Saccharomyces cerevisiae S288C: one gene and its partners. Changing the gene in region 1 together with any one later gene gives a genetic interaction. Each region holds a gene or a part of one and is shown in the gene's direction. Other genes may lie near its edges.

Region 1 (4,916 bases):
TTATATTTCTTTCTGGCTTGCAAGGCCCTTTTCCAAAAATTGAGAACTGAGTCATCATCTCTGGATTCCTGCTCAACATTGATTCCTTGCTCGAAAGATTCATTCAAGAGAAACCAAGGTTTAACATCTGGGCCAGTAAATCCAGCATTGGGCTTATCTTTCGTCCATGGCATGGGAGTTCTCGAATGATCTCTAGAAAGTAGGGCGATTCCTTTAAAAAAATCCTTCATTTCCTTCGAGTTTTTACCAAAACTTTTTTTGATAATCTCGTAGTTGTTTTTCACATCAACGTCCTCATACTTTTCAATAGGCCATTCCTTGAAATTGATCTGGCCTATCTCCTGACCTTGATAGACATACAACGTACCTGTCAATGAACATTCTAGCAATGTTAACAGCTTACCAGATATTTTACGGTACTTTGGCGAATCGTCAGCAAATCTCGTAATTGACCGGGCTTGATCGTGATTCTCGATGTAGGTGGTAGCCCAACTATCAGTACCGTTAATGAACAAAAAGTTCGATGCAATGGCTTCTTTCCATTGTTTCAAGGTGAAGGGCACTATGTTATAACGGAAAAATGGCGAGGTACCAACTTCAACGTGCGTGAAGGAGAAAACTTCGCTGACTTCGTATCTAGCTGCACTGGTGTATAAAGCATTATCACTTCCATGGGCAACTTCACCGACTGTCATTATTTCTCTACCATCTTTCACCCTGTTTTTCATAAATCTGTGTAGTTCTTGATGATATTCATGAATCCTAGGACCATTGTGAGACCCCCAATTTGGATGTTGTAATTTCGAGGTTTTGTCAAAAATTGGGGAATCTGGTAAACCAGGACGTTTCGAATACAAACCAGCGGTATCGATTCTAAAACCATCTACACCATGGTCCAGCCAAAATCCAACAGCACTTTCAAAGATTGCCCTTCTGCAGTCTTCATTCTCCCAATTCAAGTCAACTTGACGACTCGCAAACAAACGGAGGTAAAATTCATTTGTAGTTTCATCAAAAGTCCAAGCTGAACCACCAAAGAAAGATTTCCAATTGTTTGGAGGAATTGGCTTGCCTTCGGCGTCATAACCCTTAGGAGGTCTCCAGAAGAACCAGTCACGCTTCGGATTGGTCTTCGAGGATCTGCTCTCTTTGAACCATTCGTGTTCTGTAGAACAGTGGTTGATAACCAAATCGGTGATGAATTTCATACCCAGCTTATGAGTCTTGTCAATTAGCTCAAAACAGTCCTCATTGGTACCATATGTGGGCCAGACCTTTTCGTAGTTGGATATATCATACCCCATATCTTGTTGAGGAGAGTCATAAAACGGACAAACCCAAATAGCATCAACGCCAAGATCTTTAATATACTGCAACTTGGAAGTGATACCTTTTAAATCACCCCAGCCATCGTTATTGGAGTCTTTAAAACTTGCTGGGTAAATTTGATAGATTGTGGCCTCTTTCCACCACTTTGGTTCTGTTTCTGGATGATCAGAAATAGTCATTTATGTAATTTAGTTACGCTTGACTGATGTACATTTGAGATTATCAAAAAAACTGCTTAAGAGATGGATGATTTAATTTTTTAGAGACGTATTAATGGAACTTTTTATACCTTGCCCAGAGCGCCTCAAGAAAATGATGCTGCAAGAAGAATTGAGGAAGGAACTATTCATCTTACGTTGTTTGTATCATCCCACGATCCAAATCATGTTACCTACGTTAGGTACGCTAGGAACTAAAAAAAGAAAAGAAAAGTATGCGTTATCACTCTTCGAGCCAATTCTTAATTGTGTGGGGTCCGCGAAAATTTCCGGATAAATCCTGTAAACTTTAACTTAAACCCCGTGTTTAGCGAAATTTTCAACGAAGCGCGCAATAAGGAGAAATATTATCTAAAAGCGAGAGTTTAAGCGAGTTGCAAGAATCTCTACGGTACAGATGCAACTTACTATAGCCAAGGTCTATTCGTATTACTATGGCAGCGAAAGGAGCTTTAAGGTTTTAATTACCCCATAGCCATAGATTCTACTCGGTCTATCTATCATGTAACACTCCGTTGATGCGTACTAGAAAATGACAACGTACCGGGCTTGAGGGACATACAGAGACAATTACAGTAATCAAGAGTGTACCCAACTTTAACGAACTCAGTAAAAAATAAGGAATGTCGACATCTTAATTTTTTATATAAAGCGGTTTGGTATTGATTGTTTGAAGAATTTTCGGGTTGGTGTTTCTTTCTGATGCTACATAGAAGAACATCAAACAACTAAAAAAATAGTATAATATGAAAAATATCATTTCATTGGTAAGCAAGAAGAAGGCTGCCTCAAAAAATGAGGATAAAAACATTTCTGAGTCTTCAAGAGATATTGTAAACCAACAGGAGGTTTTCAATACTGAAGATTTTGAAGAAGGGAAAAAGGATAGTGCCTTTGAGCTAGACCACTTAGAGTTCACCACCAATTCAGCCCAGTTAGGAGATTCTGACGAAGATAACGAGAATGTGATTAATGAGATGAACGCTACTGATGATGCAAATGAAGCTAACAGCGAGGAAAAAAGCATGACTTTGAAGCAGGCGTTGCTAAAATATCCAAAAGCAGCCCTGTGGTCCATATTAGTGTCTACTACCCTGGTTATGGAAGGTTATGATACCGCACTACTGAGCGCACTGTATGCCCTGCCAGTTTTTCAGAGAAAATTCGGTACTTTGAACGGGGAGGGTTCTTACGAAATTACTTCCCAATGGCAGATTGGTTTAAACATGTGTGTCCTTTGTGGTGAGATGATTGGTTTGCAAATCACGACTTATATGGTTGAATTTATGGGGAATCGTTATACGATGATTACAGCACTTGGTTTGTTAACTGCTTATATCTTTATCCTCTACTACTGTAAAAGTTTAGCTATGATTGCTGTGGGACAAATTCTCTCAGCTATACCATGGGGTTGTTTCCAAAGTTTGGCTGTTACTTATGCTTCGGAAGTTTGCCCTTTAGCATTAAGATATTACATGACCAGTTACTCCAACATTTGTTGGTTATTTGGTCAAATCTTCGCCTCTGGTATTATGAAAAACTCACAAGAGAATTTAGGGAACTCCGACTTGGGCTATAAATTGCCATTTGCTTTACAATGGATTTGGCCTGCTCCTTTAATGATCGGTATCTTTTTCGCTCCTGAGTCGCCCTGGTGGTTGGTGAGAAAGGATAGGGTCGCTGAGGCAAGAAAATCTTTAAGCAGAATTTTGAGTGGTAAAGGCGCCGAGAAGGACATTCAAGTTGATCTTACTTTAAAGCAGATTGAATTGACTATTGAAAAAGAAAGACTTTTAGCATCTAAATCAGGATCATTCTTTAATTGTTTCAAGGGAGTTAATGGAAGAAGAACGAGACTTGCATGTTTAACTTGGGTAGCTCAAAATAGTAGCGGTGCCGTTTTACTTGGTTACTCGACATATTTTTTTGAAAGAGCAGGTATGGCCACCGACAAGGCGTTTACTTTTTCTCTAATTCAGTACTGTCTTGGGTTAGCGGGTACACTTTGCTCCTGGGTAATATCTGGCCGTGTTGGTAGATGGACAATACTGACCTATGGTCTTGCATTTCAAATGGTCTGCTTATTTATTATTGGTGGAATGGGTTTTGGTTCTGGAAGCAGCGCTAGTAATGGTGCCGGTGGTTTATTGCTGGCTTTATCATTCTTTTACAATGCTGGTATCGGTGCAGTTGTTTACTGTATCGTTGCTGAAATTCCATCAGCGGAGTTGAGAACTAAGACTATAGTGCTGGCCCGTATTTGCTACAATCTCATGGCCGTTATTAACGCTATATTAACGCCCTATATGCTAAACGTGAGCGATTGGAACTGGGGTGCCAAAACTGGTCTATACTGGGGTGGTTTCACAGCAGTCACTTTAGCTTGGGTCATCATCGATCTGCCTGAGACAACTGGTAGAACCTTCAGTGAAATTAATGAACTTTTCAACCAAGGGGTTCCTGCCAGAAAATTTGCATCTACTGTGGTTGATCCATTCGGAAAGGGAAAAACTCAACATGATTCGCTAGCTGATGAGAGTATCAGTCAGTCCTCAAGCATAAAACAGCGAGAATTAAATGCAGCTGATAAATGTTAAGTAAAAGGGTTGTTTTTTTTTTTTTGGAAGAAATAAGGAATCCCTTTGACTGCTCCCAAAACCCTCAGCTAGCTCGAGATTTTATATATATACATTTTTTATTTTTCTGTAAAACATTCATATTTACCATTTTTTAAGCAAAATATTGTTAGTAGTTAGTTAAAATAGCCCAAGCAGCAATCAAGCAAATATGAGAGTACTTTTTCTTTAGCACCTGGTACTTGTGCCTGGATATTGATTCGAACAACATGCCAGGTCAACCGTATTCTCAATTAACTGTTACTTTAAATGTCCATACACTTAATAAAAAGAAGGAGAGAATCACGCAAAAATCACATTAAACTATATTATAATGTTTTATGAAGTATTTTTGAAGCATTAATGTGAGAGCTTATAGAGATACGACATTCATAATTCAATGCTTTATTGGGATATACTATGCATATTCTATATGGTTCATGAAATATCTCAAAACATATCACATAGTTTCACAATCGCTTGGCAAATAATTTTCCAATTCTGAGGATATAAACAACCATTTCAAAGAATTATTCTTTCTTGGTGACATGAAAATAATAATAAATTGCATTTGATATACAAAAGCGATTAGTAAAAAAAATCAAACCCATGTGGTCGTCATCCTCACAAACAATTAGGTAAATTTCGTGTTAGCAGTATGTGGTGAAGGTGTTCTAATTAGAAATTGTGATTCAAAAATCTATCACTTTGAATTTGAATATAATGGAATTGTTTTATAAATATTACCTAATTA
Region 2 (6,628 bases), on another chromosome or scaffold:
CCGCAATTTTCTTGGCCTCTTCAGTACTCGGAGGTTTACAATCTTCAATAATACTTTTACACTCGCGTATTATGGTTAGTAACTTCGCGGAGTCTATCGAATATTCTTCGCTCTCTGTGGACTTCTCTTTGTTTTTCTCAGTTGTACTGGCATCATTTTGTGGTTCTTCTTTTTCGTTTCCCGGTACTGATTCCTGGCTACCTTCTCTGCTGGGAAATTTTGTTTCTAAATACCTTGTGACCAAGGCTTCATCCTCAATCAATAATGTTGCTAGTGTTATTTGGGGTGGAGTGTAGAAATATACGACATCGGTTAATAATGCGGCAGTTATTCTCTTCTTACACCTATCGTATATTTGGCCCATGTAATTTAAATCAACCTTACCATAAAGGACGTTCTGGATATCTAAGAAAAACCCATGAAGCGGTTTGTAAGGATGATGGTTCAACAGTGAAAATTTCAATGATTCTAACAACTTAAACTCGAATTTGAGAACACTATCTCTAGTAGATTTGGCCTTTTGAGCAAACGAGTCCACGCTAATAAAATAGTTCTCCGATTTGCAGGCTAGAAAGATAGTAGTATGTACAATACTTTTAGGATCTATTTGCATAACAGAATTTTCTAAGAAAAAACGCCTAAAAAAGGATATCGCAGTGGCCACTACTTCGGTTGGCAAATTTAGATGCTGTGCTATTACCTGAACTTTTTTTGCGTAGAAATTCACCAAATCGAGTTCTTCTTCCATTGTCAAAGGGATAGCCTTTGCTTCTAGTACTTTTATTTCTTCTTCTGTTAAATTGTGTGCTTCTCTAAATTTTAATAAATTTTCCTCAATGTAAGCAATCGCTCGGGCATTGGTATCTACCCTTTTCTCCTGAAGTTGATCTTTAGTGTATGACCACATTCTATACTGAGAAGAGTGCCTATATAAATCATCGTCAGAAATTCTTTTGTAGTTCGGTGGCTTGTTATTCTCATCAGCCGATTTTAATTTTGCCTCTTTTTCTTTTGCTGACATGGTAGCAGAAGGAGTATCTAATGTACTCTTTCCATTTAGTTGAATATCCGTCATTCTATCAATATCTGTGCAGCACAGTATTTTCCTCTCTTAAACTTAATATTCACTCATTTGTTTGAGATCTTTCTTAATATAAAAACTGTGTTAAGATCAAATTTATTACCCGGATTGTGAACGGCTTAAACAACGAAGGGATACCGCAGGAAATGAGAGGCCCTTTCTTCTCTGGATGGCAAACAGTTCGTGCTATCAAAGTCTGTACCAAGGTTATTTCACTCTTCAAGCCAGCAATAACTACTTTCTTTCAGGTCACCTCTCAGCCGTCACGTCTCTAGCTGAAGCTTTGTTATTCTCGCTTCACTAAAAACAAGTGTATCTACAATATTTACCAGTCTATTCGTATATCCCTTATCATTCTTTTTCAATAAGGGCAAATACTTCGGAAAAAGAAAGGAACATTCATCTTGATTCTAGCCGTAAAGCTATCACGTTCACTCTAAGCAAGCGGAAAGTTGAGCAAAATCAACGAACAATCTGAGTCAGCAAGGCAGTACAAGCATCTCTTCTTTGCCCCTCAAAATTTATTTCCTTTTTGGTATAGTCTTACTTCCAAGTCCAAGCAAGCACTACGTATCACGACAAACCAACAGCCGCGCCGTTTTTATATTCGGAAAGAGAATTCTTGTCGTTATTGAATAATAATAACAAAATTTCTCCACTTTTCACCATATTACCACTCCCTTTTTTTCAAGTAAAAAAAAAAAAAAAAAGAATCTTATTGCTCCTTAAAAAAGGATTCATCAGTCCTTTATGAGAGCCTGCTAGTATCACCTAATATTGCATCTGTTTTTACCGAAATTTCCTCATTCCAATAATGAAAAGAATAAGATCGCTTTGGTTCAATGCGGAGGCTTCTTATTCAAACCTTAACAATTCTCCTAGTTTGAGGAACAAAAATAGTACCGGTAATAACTCTCGCTCTAAAAATTATCGTTCTTTCTCAAGGTTTGACTTGATCAACTCTATACTTTTACTGATGATGCTATTTTTATTAGCTATCTTCGTCACTGCATTATATTTAACAAAGAGTTCCAGGCTTACATACTCACATGCCTCGAGGGCTGCCCTATTTAACCCTCTGGGTGTGATATCGCCGTCATTGGGAAATCATACGTTGAACTACGATCCAGAAGCAAGGGAATCTTCTAAAAAACTTTATGAACTCCTTTCTGATTTCAACACGGCATATTATGATGATGAGAACATGATTTTGGGAAGTAACTTGTTCTCAAAGAATACATACTCGAGACAACCATATGTTGCTAACGGTTATATAGGTAGTCGTATTCCCAATATTGGGTTCGGCTATGCCTTAGACACCCTGAATTTTTACACAGACGCACCAGGCGCTTTGAATAACGGTTGGCCCTTAAGAAATCATAGATTTGCCGGTGCGTTTGTATCGGACTTTTATTGTCTACAACCAAAACTAAATTCAACAAACTTCCCAGAATTGGATGATGTAGGATATTCCACTGTCATTTCATCTATTCCACAATGGACCAATCTACAGTTCTCATTAGTGAATGATTCTAAGTGGTTCAATCCACAAAATGTTACGTTGGATGACGTAACTAATTATAGCCAAAACTTATCAATGAAGGATGGTATCGTAACTACGGAGTTAGATTGGCTAAACAGTCAAATACATGTTAAAAGTGAAATCTGGGCACATCGGCACATTCATCCACTGGGAGTGGTTTCTTTGGAAATTTCCCTGAATACGGACCATTTACCTTCGGATTTTGATTCATTAGATGTTAATATATGGGATATACTTGATTTCAACACATCACATAGGACTGTTCTACATAGCACGGGAACAGACGAAAAAAATAATGCGGTTTTCATGATTGTTCAGCCAGATAACGTTCCATCTTCTAATTGCGCTATTTACTCAACGTGTACTGTAAAGTATGAAAATTCCACCAATCCAATAAATTCTAGTGAATCTTTTGAAGAAAAAGATGTTTCTTCTAATATTTATAATGTTATTTTGACAGAGGACCAACCCAAGATAATCGTTCATAAGTATGTTGGTATTATGTCTACTGAGTTCAATAAGAACAAAGAACAACAAGACAATACTAATATTGGTTTGGCCAAAATGATAGCTCTAAACAGTAAAGGCAATTACGAGAAGCTTCTGTCAAGTCACAAACGTGCGTGGTATGACCTTTACAACGACGCCTTCATTGAAATTCCTTCTGACAGTCTTTTAGAAATGACAGCAAGATCGTCCCTATTCCATTTACTAGCAAATACAAGAGATTACAATGTCTCGAGCGATAGGGGTCTTCCCGTGGGAGTTTCTGGTTTGTCATCAGATTCCTATGGTGGTATGGTGTTCTGGGACGCAGATATATGGATGGAACCTGCCCTATTGCCTTTCTTCCCAAATGTGGCTCAAAATATGAATAATTACAGAAATGCTACACATTCGCAGGCAAAGTTAAATGCAGAGAAATATGGATACCCCGGAGCAATATACCCCTGGACATCTGGTAAGTACGCTAATTGTACTTCTACGGGACCTTGTGTCGATTACGAATACCATATTAACGTTGATGTCGCTATGGCCTCCTTTTCCATATACTTGAATGGACACGAAGGGATTGATGACGAGTATCTGAGATATACTACATGGCCAATTATCAAAAACGCAGCCCAATTTTTTACTGCTTATGTTAAGTACAATTCTTCCCTAGGATTGTATGAAACATATAATTTGACAGATCCCGACGAGTTTGCTAATCACATCAATAACGGGGCTTTCACGAATGCTGGCATTAAAACACTTCTAAAGTGGGCAACAGACATTGGCAATCATCTCGGCGAGGTCGTTGACCCCAAATGGAGTGAAATTTCCAAAGATATTTATATCCCTAGATCCTCATCTAACATCACTTTGGAATATTCTGGTATGAATAGCTCAGTGGAGATTAAACAGGCGGATGTGACTTTAATGGTTTACCCACTTGGATATATCAATGATGAATCCATATTGAACAATGCAATTAAAGATCTTTATTATTATTCAGAAAGACAGTCTGCGTCTGGGCCTGCAATGACATATCCGGTTTTTGTGGCCGCAGCTGCTGGTCTGCTGAATCACGGCTCTTCTTCTCAAAGTTACTTATATAAATCGGTTCTTCCATACTTACGGGCTCCTTTCGCTCAATTTAGTGAGCAATCAGACGACAACTTTTTAACAAACGGATTAACCCAGCCAGCATTCCCCTTTTTAACAGCTAACGGTGGATTTCTACAGAGCATTCTGTTTGGGTTAACAGGAATCCGATATTCTTATGAGGTTGATCCAGATACTAAAAAAATTAACCGTTTGTTAAGGTTCAATCCAATAGAACTACCGTTGCTCCCTGGTGGTATCGCTATTAGAAACTTCAAATATATGAACCAAGTTTTAGATATAATAATTGACGACCACAATGGTACGATTGTTCATAAATCAGGAGATGTTCCTATTCATATAAAGATACCAAACAGATCTCTAATACATGACCAGGATATCAACTTCTATAATGGTTCCGAAAACGAAAGAAAACCAAATCTAGAGCGTAGAGACGTCGACCGTGTTGGTGATCCAATGAGGATGGATAGGTATGGTACCTATTATCTTTTAAAACCGAAACAAGAGCTTACAGTCCAACTGTTCAAGCCTGGCTTAAACGCAAGAAACAACATAGCGGAAAATAAGCAAATAACAAACTTGACGGCCGGCGTTCCTGGTGACGTTGCATTCTCTGCTCTAGATGGGAATAATTACACGCATTGGCAACCCTTAGACAAAATTCACCGTGCGAAGCTATTGATTGATTTAGGTGAATACAACGAGAAAGAGATTACCAAGGGAATGATTCTTTGGGGGCAGAGGCCCGCAAAAAACATTTCCATATCTATTTTGCCTCATTCTGAAAAAGTCGAAAATTTATTTGCGAACGTGACAGAAATTATGCAAAATTCGGGAAATGATCAACTTCTTAATGAAACCATTGGTCAGCTTTTAGATAATGCCGGAATTCCTGTCGAGAACGTTATTGATTTTGATGGCATAGAACAAGAGGATGATGAATCTTTGGATGATGTGCAAGCCTTATTGCACTGGAAGAAGGAAGACTTAGCCAAGCTAATTGAACAAATACCCAGACTTAACTTTCTAAAAAGAAAATTTGTGAAAATTCTGGATAACGTGCCAGTGAGCCCAAGTGAGCCATACTACGAAGCAAGTCGCAACCAGTCGTTAATCGAGATATTACCCAGTAATAGAACGACTTTCACTATTGATTATGATAAATTGCAGGTGGGTGATAAAGGGAACACAGATTGGAGGAAAACAAGATACATAGTTGTGGCAGTACAAGGAGTGTATGATGATTATGATGATGATAACAAAGGAGCTACAATCAAGGAAATTGTTCTCAATGATTAAATGAAATGATGCATATAAGTAGCGCTTTTTTTAATATTATAAGTTTGGATAAAAGTTACCAATTTTTTCGTAGGATATATATTTTAAAGGCACTATATTGAAAATATCATGCATGCTTATATAAAAGCTTTTTTTTTTCTATAGGGTGACATTTAGGAGCAATAATTTTTACTACAAGCTTTTTTTGCACCTTATATAGTAGTGACCTTGAAATTGGTCTTTTGCACCAGCGTACTTTAATTCCACTAAGTACTGTTTAGCAGCCTGTTTTCCAGAGCCCACAACAGTTTTCTATAAAATTTTCACATGCATTATATAGACATGATCTACCTACCAATTTGATCTTCCTGCCATTGAGATCAGTTCTTTCATTACATTGATTGCACATTTTTAATTGGCGCCTTTTCTAATTTTTTGTATGAGTCCATATTAAAAAAATAGACTTCAAATTCCTACTAGACGATTCTGATTCCATCGGGATTACCACCAGATTTGATATTGGCTCTTCTCTCGTCAGTAGGGTTTGAACAGAAATATTCCTAAATTTCTCGCAACTTAAATTAAATTTGCAACGATAATGTTTGCATACATTTTTATATTCTAGATTCAATACATTAGAGGTAACTTGATGTAGCGCCAATCTGAAAATACAGAAGCCTACTAGGCAAATATTTAAAGCTCTATATACTATTCACGAAAGAAAAACGTACTTTGTATAAATTGAAGAAAATGAGTTTGTGTTAGTTGGGTCCTGCCATTTGGTATCCTGAAGGTTTTCTCAAGGTGGGGTGGGCTAATCTACAGGAATAGTTTATAGTAATTGTGTGTTAAGAAGTATTTTGGCTTTAAATGACGTCCCCCACAAATTTATTACTTCAGGTGTATAATGTATTCACAAATATGTTCGTTTCTTTTTTGCTCTTCATCGTCCCCAGTTTTTCCTCACCCTTACAAAACAAAAACGGCAGGAAAAGGGTCCTATGTAAATTAAGCAAACACTGCGGGGTAGAACCTAAATTTTAATGTATTTTTTTACAATCCAACCAAGATTAAACCAATTGCCGAGCTTTTTCCTTTCTCGGTGAAACAAACCTTTA
Region 3 (4,869 bases), on another chromosome or scaffold:
GCGAAAAAACAACACTTAACTGCCAATACTCTGTAAAATTGTTTTCACTTTACATCAATACATTATCTACGTGATTATACATATAGTTATGCATTTGTAGCTAAGAGGGAATCAACTACTGATAGTTAGTATTCAGTGAATAACATAAAAAAGCATTAGCATACAAAGATAATACGCCTGTGCAATTTTTTGCCTATCAAATGCGCCTTTCTAGACAAGATATTTGGTTGAATATGGGTCAGCTATCTTCTATCTGTCGTTACCATATCAGTTTAAGACTACATTGTTAATATTGCTGGAATAGGATTATAAGCGGCGTTGGAATCGACCGCACAAACTACTTGGCTATTTATATATGATTCAAAATTCAGCACCTGATTTAGTAAAGGCAGAACTTTGACGATTGGTAATGTGTTAGAAAAATGTTCTGCAATGTTATATAGAATACGGCTTTCTTTATGTGAATTTTGATATATTGGTGGATTTTGTCATAATTTTTGGGATTTCGTTGTTGTTAAGGTTATAACATTAGGAATAGAGAATATGATAAAGGTTCTTCCCCAGGATACAAAAATTTACAAAAGAGATTGATACTTTTACGTAATAAGGCTACTATTTCTTTCTCCATTTTATATATTGTCACCCATTGTCCTACTATATTTTATTTCAGCTTCCCAAACATCTGATGACTGTTTTTCAATCTTTATATCATCTTTTTTACACTGTATATGATAACATATAATAATATGACTACTGGTAGACAGATGAAGGTTGATTTTGAGATATTGGTGAATTTTGAGGTAATTCTTGGGGTTTTTATTGATTAAGGCTATAATATTATGTATGCAGAATATACTAGAAGTTCTCCTCGAGGATATAGGAATCCTCGAATGGAATCGATACTTCTACATAATAATATTACGATTATTCCTCATTCCGTTTTAAATGTTTCATTATCATATTACATTATCAATCTTTGCATTTCAGCTTCCTTTAACTTCAATGGCAGTTTTTTCATAGCTTATGTCATCATCTAACATCGTATATGATAATACCAGTAGTATAACTATAGTTGATGGACGATAGTTGATTTCCATTCCAACAGATTCTTATTCCAACAACTTTAATATTATCTTCTTGATGTAGTTGCACATAATATAGAAATACTTCGTAGGGAATTAGCATCCCCTCAACTTACAAAACATTCATTGAATTTACCAGTTATAGGGCATGCGTAATGCTTTTAGATGAGATATCCAATGTATACAACTAACCGATATCCAAAAATGACATAGTATCGAGTTCCGGGTCCAATGGTCCAGTGGTTCAAGACGTCGCCTTTACACGGCGAAGATCCCGAGTTCGAACCTCGGTTGGATCAAACTCTTTATTTTTTTAAATTTGCTACTTTAGGTTCGTAGAAAGTCTCTAGGAATGAAATTATATCTTCTGCGTTCGAAAAGAGTAGCTTTAGTTGAAGAAGTTTTGATTTGAAGTGCATTAATGTCTTCCGCTATCTGTGGGAGTGAAGGCATCATTAGAGATAGATCTCAGTGATACCTAATAATACAAGAAGTAGAAATAAAAAATGTGCCCCTAAAAGTACTACCAAGGTATCCGAATTGATTCCTTACGCAGACCTCCCCTATCACAAAATTGAGATGAGGAAGTAGCCAACCTGGTCCTATAAACGTTTAAGGGCAATACGACCGAGTTTTCATTTATTCATTTATATGAATTGCTCTGTCGTGTTTCTCTCTCGGTTCCAGCAGTAAATTTAATGAATCCCCCAAACATTACGGAGCATTCATTACAGATCGGTGGCACCGTTGTATGGATGTATTGCCTTTTTGGAACAATACATCTACTTGCCGAACGTTATGTTTTAGATGGGTCCGCTTTTAATAGTTTAGGTAATTCTTATAGGATTGAAAATCTCGGTAACTAAAATCCGTTATGGCTTAAAAAAATGTAAAAAATAAAGGCCCTTTCTTCCATTCCCTGTGAAACAAAAGTTTCGATAGTGCGATAGTTTACCTTTTACGAGCTTTAACCTGGCGTTATTTTCTCCCACACTACTGTAAACATAAAACTCTCTTATGCTTTAACGAGTATGCTGAGGAATTGTTTGAGGAAATTGGGAAATCATCAAACGAAATGTTCGGTAAAAACGTTACACACCCCAATCTATAGAACAAAAAACCTTCAGGTTCTCAGAGATACGCTCTCTGGTATTAAGCTGTTGGAAAAAATAATAACTTCATCCTCCTACAATAAAACATTGATATATGAACCTAAGTATAAATCCAAGCCACAGGTCGTTAGTTCTCATGATACCATGAGACTTCACAATGTAATGCGTGAGTTACTAGATTCCCTACAAGTAGATGAAGCTACCAACACACGACTTCAATCAAACAGGCCTCGAAAGCTGGGGAGGGTTGGTCTACAATTATTCATGGATTGCATTCAGGACAACTTAACAGCAACTTCAACATCTTTGACATGCTCTTTACTGGAGCACTATTTCAAGTATCCCGAAAAAGAAGTGACCAATGGGATCAAGGCCGGATTACGATATATCAGAGATTTTCTTGCGAAGAACAAGATTATAGTGAAAAGTCAAAACGATGTTGATGCTCTGGTCGAGCAATTGACTATGTCCTCCTCAGACAGCCAAAGCATCAAAAGGGTTTTGAAAGCCATTAATTATGAATTGTTTTCGGATGACATTGTGCGGGTCATAAACGGCAACAAAACTTACGATGAGGTTGATGTATCCAAGGGTTGGAAATATCCAGCTGGTATTTTAGATAGTAATGAAGCCTATTTAAGGTCCCTGGAGTTGCCTACTAAGAAATTAGTTTCCATTGATAAAGATATGCTAGTTCTTATGTATGATGGGACGTTACGAGACGCTAATAAAATTCTACCCACGATAACGTATGCAAGAAAGTTGAGAAAATCTGTTCTCTTAATCGTTAACGGAGATTGCACAGGTGATGCATTAACATCCGTTACAATTAACAATAACAGAAACAAGAGAGAAAATAATGAAAGCCGAATAGTGGTTTTGAAGTACTCTAAAAAGGCGAACAATGACTTAGCGCCACAGGAGAATCTTGATTTTATAAAGTTCTTACGGTTGCCTTGCGGATATGACAGCATCTACTCACCAGAATATAGTCCTTTAGTGCCAAGCAAAATGTGTGCGGATAAATATTACGGCAGTATCGAATCCATAAAAGCGACCACAGGGGAGGCATTCTTATATAACTCCATTGATGCTGAAGCGATTCCAAATAAAGTTCCGAAATCCTTCCTCCAAAATACGGTCACTTTAAGCATTGGTGGACATAACGAAATCGAAATCGACAGAAGAAGAAATGCAATAGATAATTGCTTAAATAACGTCCTATGTCATGGGCTGGCCAAAGGTTTCATCCCAGGTTACGGCATCTCCCTACTGAAGGCAATTCCAGGTTTGAATGAACTGAAAGCAAATGAACCCAATTTCATGACTAAGGTAGGCATCAATGCTGTTTTATCAGCAGTTATTCTCCCATCAGAAGTGGCGTTTAAGAATGCATATGGGTACAACTATTATGAGATCAATAGCCTGATAGCAGGCGCTATAAACGAAAAATCGTTTCCAATGGCCAAGTTTTCTCCAAATTCAGAACCGGTGAACACAGTAAAGGATGGAAACTTGGAGCCATGGAGCAAAATGGATTCTTGTTTAGCCGGTGTAGAAACGTTCATTGAATTACTTACAAGCTGTAATACAATTATCACATGTGTATACAAAAAGCCTGAACGGCACAAAGCCTAGATAAAGCCCTTACATACTTTTAAATAGTCAGAATGAGTCATTGTAAATAGATATTGCCACGGCGCTGCCTTTTATCACTTTTACCTCTTCGTAAATATCTATTATTCCTGCTCAATTTCTCATATGCGGCTTCGGAAAAACTCGGGTTTTTCCACGCCTCAGCAGTAACTCCATCTACCTTTGGGGATTTGAACCATCTCATTCCAGTTTTGGATAACTGCGATTAGATTAAAATATTAAAAGATTATCGATTAGATAAGATAGAAACCAACAAAATTTGTTGTAATAGCTGTGTCCTTGTATCCTTAAAAGAAAACAGGGTTGAAGGCATATGTATTCACATCTTTCTAACTTGTTAACGTCTATGCTAGGACCGAAGTCAGAAAGCGATAAACATGCAAGCCCAAGGTTCACAATCGAATGTAGGGTCTTTGAGGAGTAATTGCTCTGACAATTCACTACCGAACAATCATGTTATGATGCACTGCGATGAAAGCAGCGGCAGCCCGCACAGCGAGCACAACGATTATAGTTACGAAAAGACCAATCTGGAAAGTACGGCATCAAATAGTCGTGAACACAGAGACAACCAGCTAAGTAGGTTGAAGAGTGAGGAATACGTTGTTCCAAAGAATCAACGTAGGGGACTATTGCCTCAACTCGCCATTATACCGGAGTTCAAGGATGCCAGAGATTATCCACCGATGATGAAAAAGATGATTGTCTTCTTGATTGCGTTTTCCTCCATGATGGGCCCCATGGGCACATCTATCATTTTTCCAGCGATCAACTCAATCACAACAGAATTTAAAACATCAGTGATTATGGTAAACGTTTCAATTGGTGTGTACCTTTTAAGTCTTGGTGTTTTCCCATTGTGGTGGTCTTCTCTATCCGAGCTAGAGGGCAGAAGAACTACTTACATAACTTCATTTGCATTATTGTTTGCATTTAATATCGGGTCTGCTCTAGCTCCTGATATCAACTCATTTATTGCCTTGAGAATGCTCTGTGGGGCTGCTTCTGCCAGTGTTCAA
Region 4 (4,720 bases), on another chromosome or scaffold:
CCTTCCAATATTCGCTTACATACATCATTAACAAGCCAGGGCTTTTCTCCCTCATATTTGCTCGTATATCATCACTATTCTTGGTCTGAAATAGCAGCTCCTGGAAAAATGCTAATAACTCTTCAATTTTATGGTAGCTTTCAGTGGCCATTTTCAGTCTAGACCAAAGAACTGTATCACAAGGATCCCACTGAATAAGCTTTTTTAAGACAGCAATTTGTACCTTTGAGTGTGGCATTTTTTCTAATATCTGATCAACATTATTCAACTCAGACTCATACTCGCCACTTTCTCTTAACCATTCTAATATAGCGTAAACGATGGCTTGACAGGTTAAATTTGAATTGGGCGCATCATTTAGAGCCTCTGCACGTTTCAACCATGCTGACAAGGTCGCTTTGTACCCATTTTTAGAGAGTTCCAATAAACCCTCCTTGAGCAAACTAACTAGTTTATCTACAGGTATATCTGGGTTATTTCGTTCTTCCAAGAGTGTAGAGATAATCCAAATTTCCGGTTCTTGCGGAAGGATTTTTCTGAAGGAATTCAAAGTCATTTTAGCATTATGATAGCTTTGCAAATTAGTATATGCAGTCAAGAGATCCATACTTTGTGGAATAAATTGTGTGGCTTTCTCTAACATTTTTATAACTTGCGCTTTGTCAGCTTCAAAACTGACAGCTAGCTTCCATAGGCCCTCATCTCGAGGAATCTCTTGCAGTGCTTTTCTCACTACTCTATATTTGTTAACCGTTGTGCTTTCCAAATCAATAGCTTTGAACCAAAGAAGCGGAGACGTTGGATTAAAATTTATTGCCGTTGCCACTAATGTTTTACAGTAGTGAACATCAGATTCGTGTAGTCTAATGTTTTCTAGCCAAATATCGGAGCTTCGAGGGCACTCTTGGCAACCATTTTCTATTATTTTTTTTGCTACTGAAAATTTTCTTGCCTTTTCTTCTAATCTGGCAGAAGCTATCCAACCCTGTGGATTTGTTGGATCGGCCTTTCTGTATGACTTTAAAATTGTGCGCATTTTCTGTAAATCTTCTAACGTTGCGTCTGAGAGAGAATTTACTCTATCGTTTTCTAAGTCCTTTAAGTAACTTAGGGCATCGGTAGCAGCGTTCGGTTTATTAACCTGTATAGGGTTACTTGCATTCTTCGTTAATTGTGCAAGATTCTCATCTATTTGAGATTGCAATAATTTTTCTCGTTCTTCCGTTAATTTATTTAAATCAACATTCCCAGGTATTAGCGAATCCGGTGCAGCATAAGTTTTTCTGTTTAATTGCTCTTGAATTCTATTTCTCTTGTTTCTTCTTGTAAAATCTGTGGCATCCGGAATATCCATCCACTCACTCTCCGTTACAGCAGCTAATGATTCTTTCAAATCGGCAAATTGCCGTTTCACGTTTGAAGAATCAACTGAATTGTCATCATCCTTTTCATTAGCTCTTTTCTTTTTCTTTTGTGCTAATTTCAATTCAAGCGTTTTGAATACATTTGCAGCTTCATCATCTTCATCATCTTTCGGTTGGCTTTGAAGATGGTTGTTCAAATTTTCACGGTACCTTTTCGGTATTCTTCTTCCTTTGTCATCATTACTAACCACTTGCTTTTCTTTTGTTGAAAATCCAGTGGCTCCACGACCAATACCTGGTACGTAACCTGCAGGTGGTTCTTGATCCAAAAAAGATGGCCTCTCCATAAAATGTGACGTTTTCTTGCTGTTAAACTCTTTATGTCAACTCACCCGTATATTTTCTGAAATTTTTCGTTTTTTTTTGCTTAATAGAACAATCTGACACACTATAAATGTACTGGTTAAATTAGCCCAAGGTTCTATCAACGGTAAAGAAGACTTTTAAAAATACTTTCGTTACATTATTTATTAAAAGAAGAAACGCCATCATTTCATAAAGGTCTCCGGAGGAGCTACTAAAGAAAGAGTGCTGCAATTAATACAATTAATATAAGTGTGGTTATTGAAAATAACTATTCATTTATACGGAGGGTTGGCCGAGTGGTCTAAGGCGGCAGACTTAAGATCTGTTGGACGGTTGTCCGCGCGAGTTCGAACCTCGCATCCTTCAGTAATATTTTTTTAATATACATTTTCTCTGCCATCATGGCTTAAAAAATGCTTAAAAGAAGGGAATTAGGGGGGATGGATGAACTAAGACATAACTTTCTTTTCTTCAATTCGAACTCTGTTGGGAAGAGTTGCTTTAAAAAAGACTCTCTATCCATCTATAAAATTTATTAAAACTTTTGAACTGCACAGAATGATTGGCTCACTTAGAAACAAATTTGAGCATTTCAAAGTTTCTGAAAAGGGAGGTCAAAATTTATCTACAACACTACCGAAACTACCCCCTGCAAAGGACCTTGATAGATCAACTATCTACAAGTACCGTTACAATTATGGTGTAAACTTGGGTGCGTTATTTGTGCTCGAACCATGGATTTTTTCTAAAGAAACCATTTGTACAATCGATGGGAAAGAATATGATAGCGAATTTGATGCTATTTCCCAACAATTGAAGAAGCATTCTTCTGAAGACGTTGCGAAAATGTTAAGCGATCACTATAAAAAGTACATTGATCGAATTGACTGGGAATGGCTATCTAAAGATGCCCATATTACAGCGTTACGTATTCCAATTGGATATTGGCATGTCGAAGATGGGAAGCATTTAGATTCGCTTCCATTTGCCCCATTGAGAAAAGTTTATGAGTTAGCCAAACCTTGGGAAAAACTTGGCGAATTAATCAATAATGCCAAGAAAATGAGCATTGGTGTATTGATAGATTTGCATGGTCTACCAGGAGGCGCTAATTGCGACTCACACAGTGGCTCGAAGAGTGGTGAAGCTGCGTTTTTCCACAAGGAAAAGTACATGACCAAAGTCTACAAAGATATTTTACCTGCAATTATTAACACAATGACTCTGGGCAACGAAAACATCATTGGTATTCAAGTGGTTAATGAGGCATGTTTTGATAATAACCCAAAGGGCCAAAAATTCTATTATTCAGAAGCCATTAATACCGTTGAAAAACTTCAACCAGGTTTACCTGTCATAATATCCGATGGTTGGTGGCCCCAACAATGGGCAGACTGGGTTAAAGAAAAACATTTTAGTGAAATAGTGGTCATTGATTCTCATGTCTACCGCTGTTTTTCTGATTCTGATAAGTCGAAGGATGCCAATTCCATTATCAAGGATTTGCCAAATACTGTGAATTTTCCTCATGAAGATGCCGATTATACTGTTGGTGAATTTTCTGGTGTTCTTGATGGACAAACTTGGAATAAAACTTCTGGCGACAGAGACGCTATTGTTCAAAAATACGTACAAACCCAAGCAGATGTATTTTCTCATGTAGCTAGTTGGGGTTGGTTTTTTTGGACTTTGCAGTTTGAATACGGTGATGGAGGTGAATGGGGCTTAGCTCCCATGATGCAGAAAGGAAATTTACCAAAACGTCCTCACGGTGATGACTTACAAGTCGACAAGAAGAAAATAGATTCAATAATCCATGAACACGAGGCTTATTGGAACGGTAAAGGTAAAAATTTTGAACACTGGAGGTTTGAGGATGGCATAAAGACAGCTGTTGATGATATAATTGCCTTTAGGAAATTTGACAATTCATTAATTGGTAGATGGCATTCATGGAAGTCGCAAAGAAGAGCTGAATACGTTTCTGCCAAAAAAGATAGCGAATTTATGTGGGAATGGGATCAAGGCTACCAACGTGGGTTAGATGAGTTTAATAAGTATTAAGAAATATACAAACACATATATACTAACTATAGGCGTTTCTATTCTTTTGGTTTACTGTCGAAAATAAAAAAAAAGCTGTTGTGGCGGCACTTCGTAAGTTTTCAATTATCCAGCTACTGCCAGTAGAGTACTCAATACTTTTACTTTCAGCTGAAATGAGGTTTTTCTTTAAATGAAGTTGATACGCAATATCATAAAAGCACCGGAATAATGGTAATCAAGATGAAGCGCTATGATATTTTTAGTATTTGCCATCTTCAAATCATTCTATTTTACCCAATAGAACATTCAAGTAAGGTGAACTATTTAAATTAAAAACTCAAGTAACATGGGCGATCTTTAAGCATTTGAGAGTTATTAAAAATTTCCGAATAGAGCAATAATGGAGGAAATTAAGTAAAAACTTTGAGCCAAAATAAATAATATTACAAAGCAAGCCAGAGTCTCTTTTTAATCAGAGGAAAGATGAGTTGATAAGCGTATAAGCTACTCTGCTGTGAATGTTTGAATCAACCTCCCAAAAGATGTATTGGAGGTATTAAGCTGCCTTGAAGTTGGGATTTGGCAGGGTTATAAAAAAGGCGTCATTGGCTAAACATGCAGCCACACATATTGTTGTTTCATAGCCATAAACTTTGATATAATGACCGAAAATTGTTTTTGCGTTGTTCCATAAGCCCAGCTGCCCGTTGGGTATTTTGAACTTTTGTCGCCAGGTATCGGCCGTTCCTAATATTATAGTAGCTTATACCATCAAGAAAGACACTACATCTAACTACTCAAACAAAAGTAACCCCACGGTTATGTTCACCGAGTTGCGTACGGTTAACATGTATTATATGGCAGCGCAAAAAGCGATGGCTGTGACAGATGATGAAGTCATCCATCGGTAATTGTCCATCTTAGGTAACAATTGCGAGGCAAGT

The links.
Region 2: of MAL11 (region 1) and ATH1, a mutation in one rescues a mutant of the other (synthetic rescue), as found in Saccharomyces cerevisiae (one study listed by BioGRID).
Region 3: mutations in MAL11 (region 1) and TCM62 together harm fitness more than expected from each alone (negative genetic interaction), as found in Saccharomyces cerevisiae (2 studies listed by BioGRID).
Region 4: mutations in MAL11 (region 1) and MRX18 together harm fitness more than expected from each alone (negative genetic interaction), as found in Saccharomyces cerevisiae (2 studies listed by BioGRID).

Annotation. Positions count from the first base shown.
Region 1 is NC_001139.9:1,073,191-1,078,106, reverse strand, and holds MAL11 (alpha-glucoside permease), read left to right. Parts: upstream 1-2,293; coding exon 2,294-4,144; downstream 4,145-4,916. Other genes in the region: alpha-glucosidase MAL12, read right to left, coding at 1-1,508. UniProt on the Saccharomyces cerevisiae protein: High-affinity uptake of alpha-glucosides such as maltose, turanose, isomaltose, alpha-methylglucoside, maltotriose, palatinose, trehalose, melezitose and glucose. Acts with the concomitant transport of protons into the cell (symport system).
Region 2 is NC_001148.4:613,484-620,111, forward strand, and holds ATH1 (alpha,alpha-trehalase ATH1), read left to right. Parts: upstream 1-1,895; coding exon 1,896-5,531; downstream 5,532-6,628. Other genes in the region: TFIIH complex kinase subunit CCL1, read right to left, coding at 1-1,075.
Region 3 is NC_001134.8:323,304-328,172, reverse strand, and holds TCM62 (Tcm62p), read left to right. Parts: upstream 1-2,113; coding exon 2,114-3,832; downstream 3,833-4,869. Other genes in the region: QDR3 (Qdr3p), read left to right, coding at 4,228-4,869. UniProt on the Saccharomyces cerevisiae protein: Chaperone. Required for the assembly of succinate dehydrogenase subunits. Ensures mitochondrial gene expression at elevated temperatures and prevents heat-aggregation of the ribosomal subunit VAR1.
Region 4 is NC_001134.8:345,591-350,310, forward strand, and holds MRX18 (17-beta-hydroxysteroid dehydrogenase-like protein), read left to right. Parts: upstream 1-2,288; coding exon 2,289-3,794; downstream 3,795-4,720. Other genes in the region: U4/U6-U5 snRNP complex subunit PRP6, read right to left, coding at 1-1,711.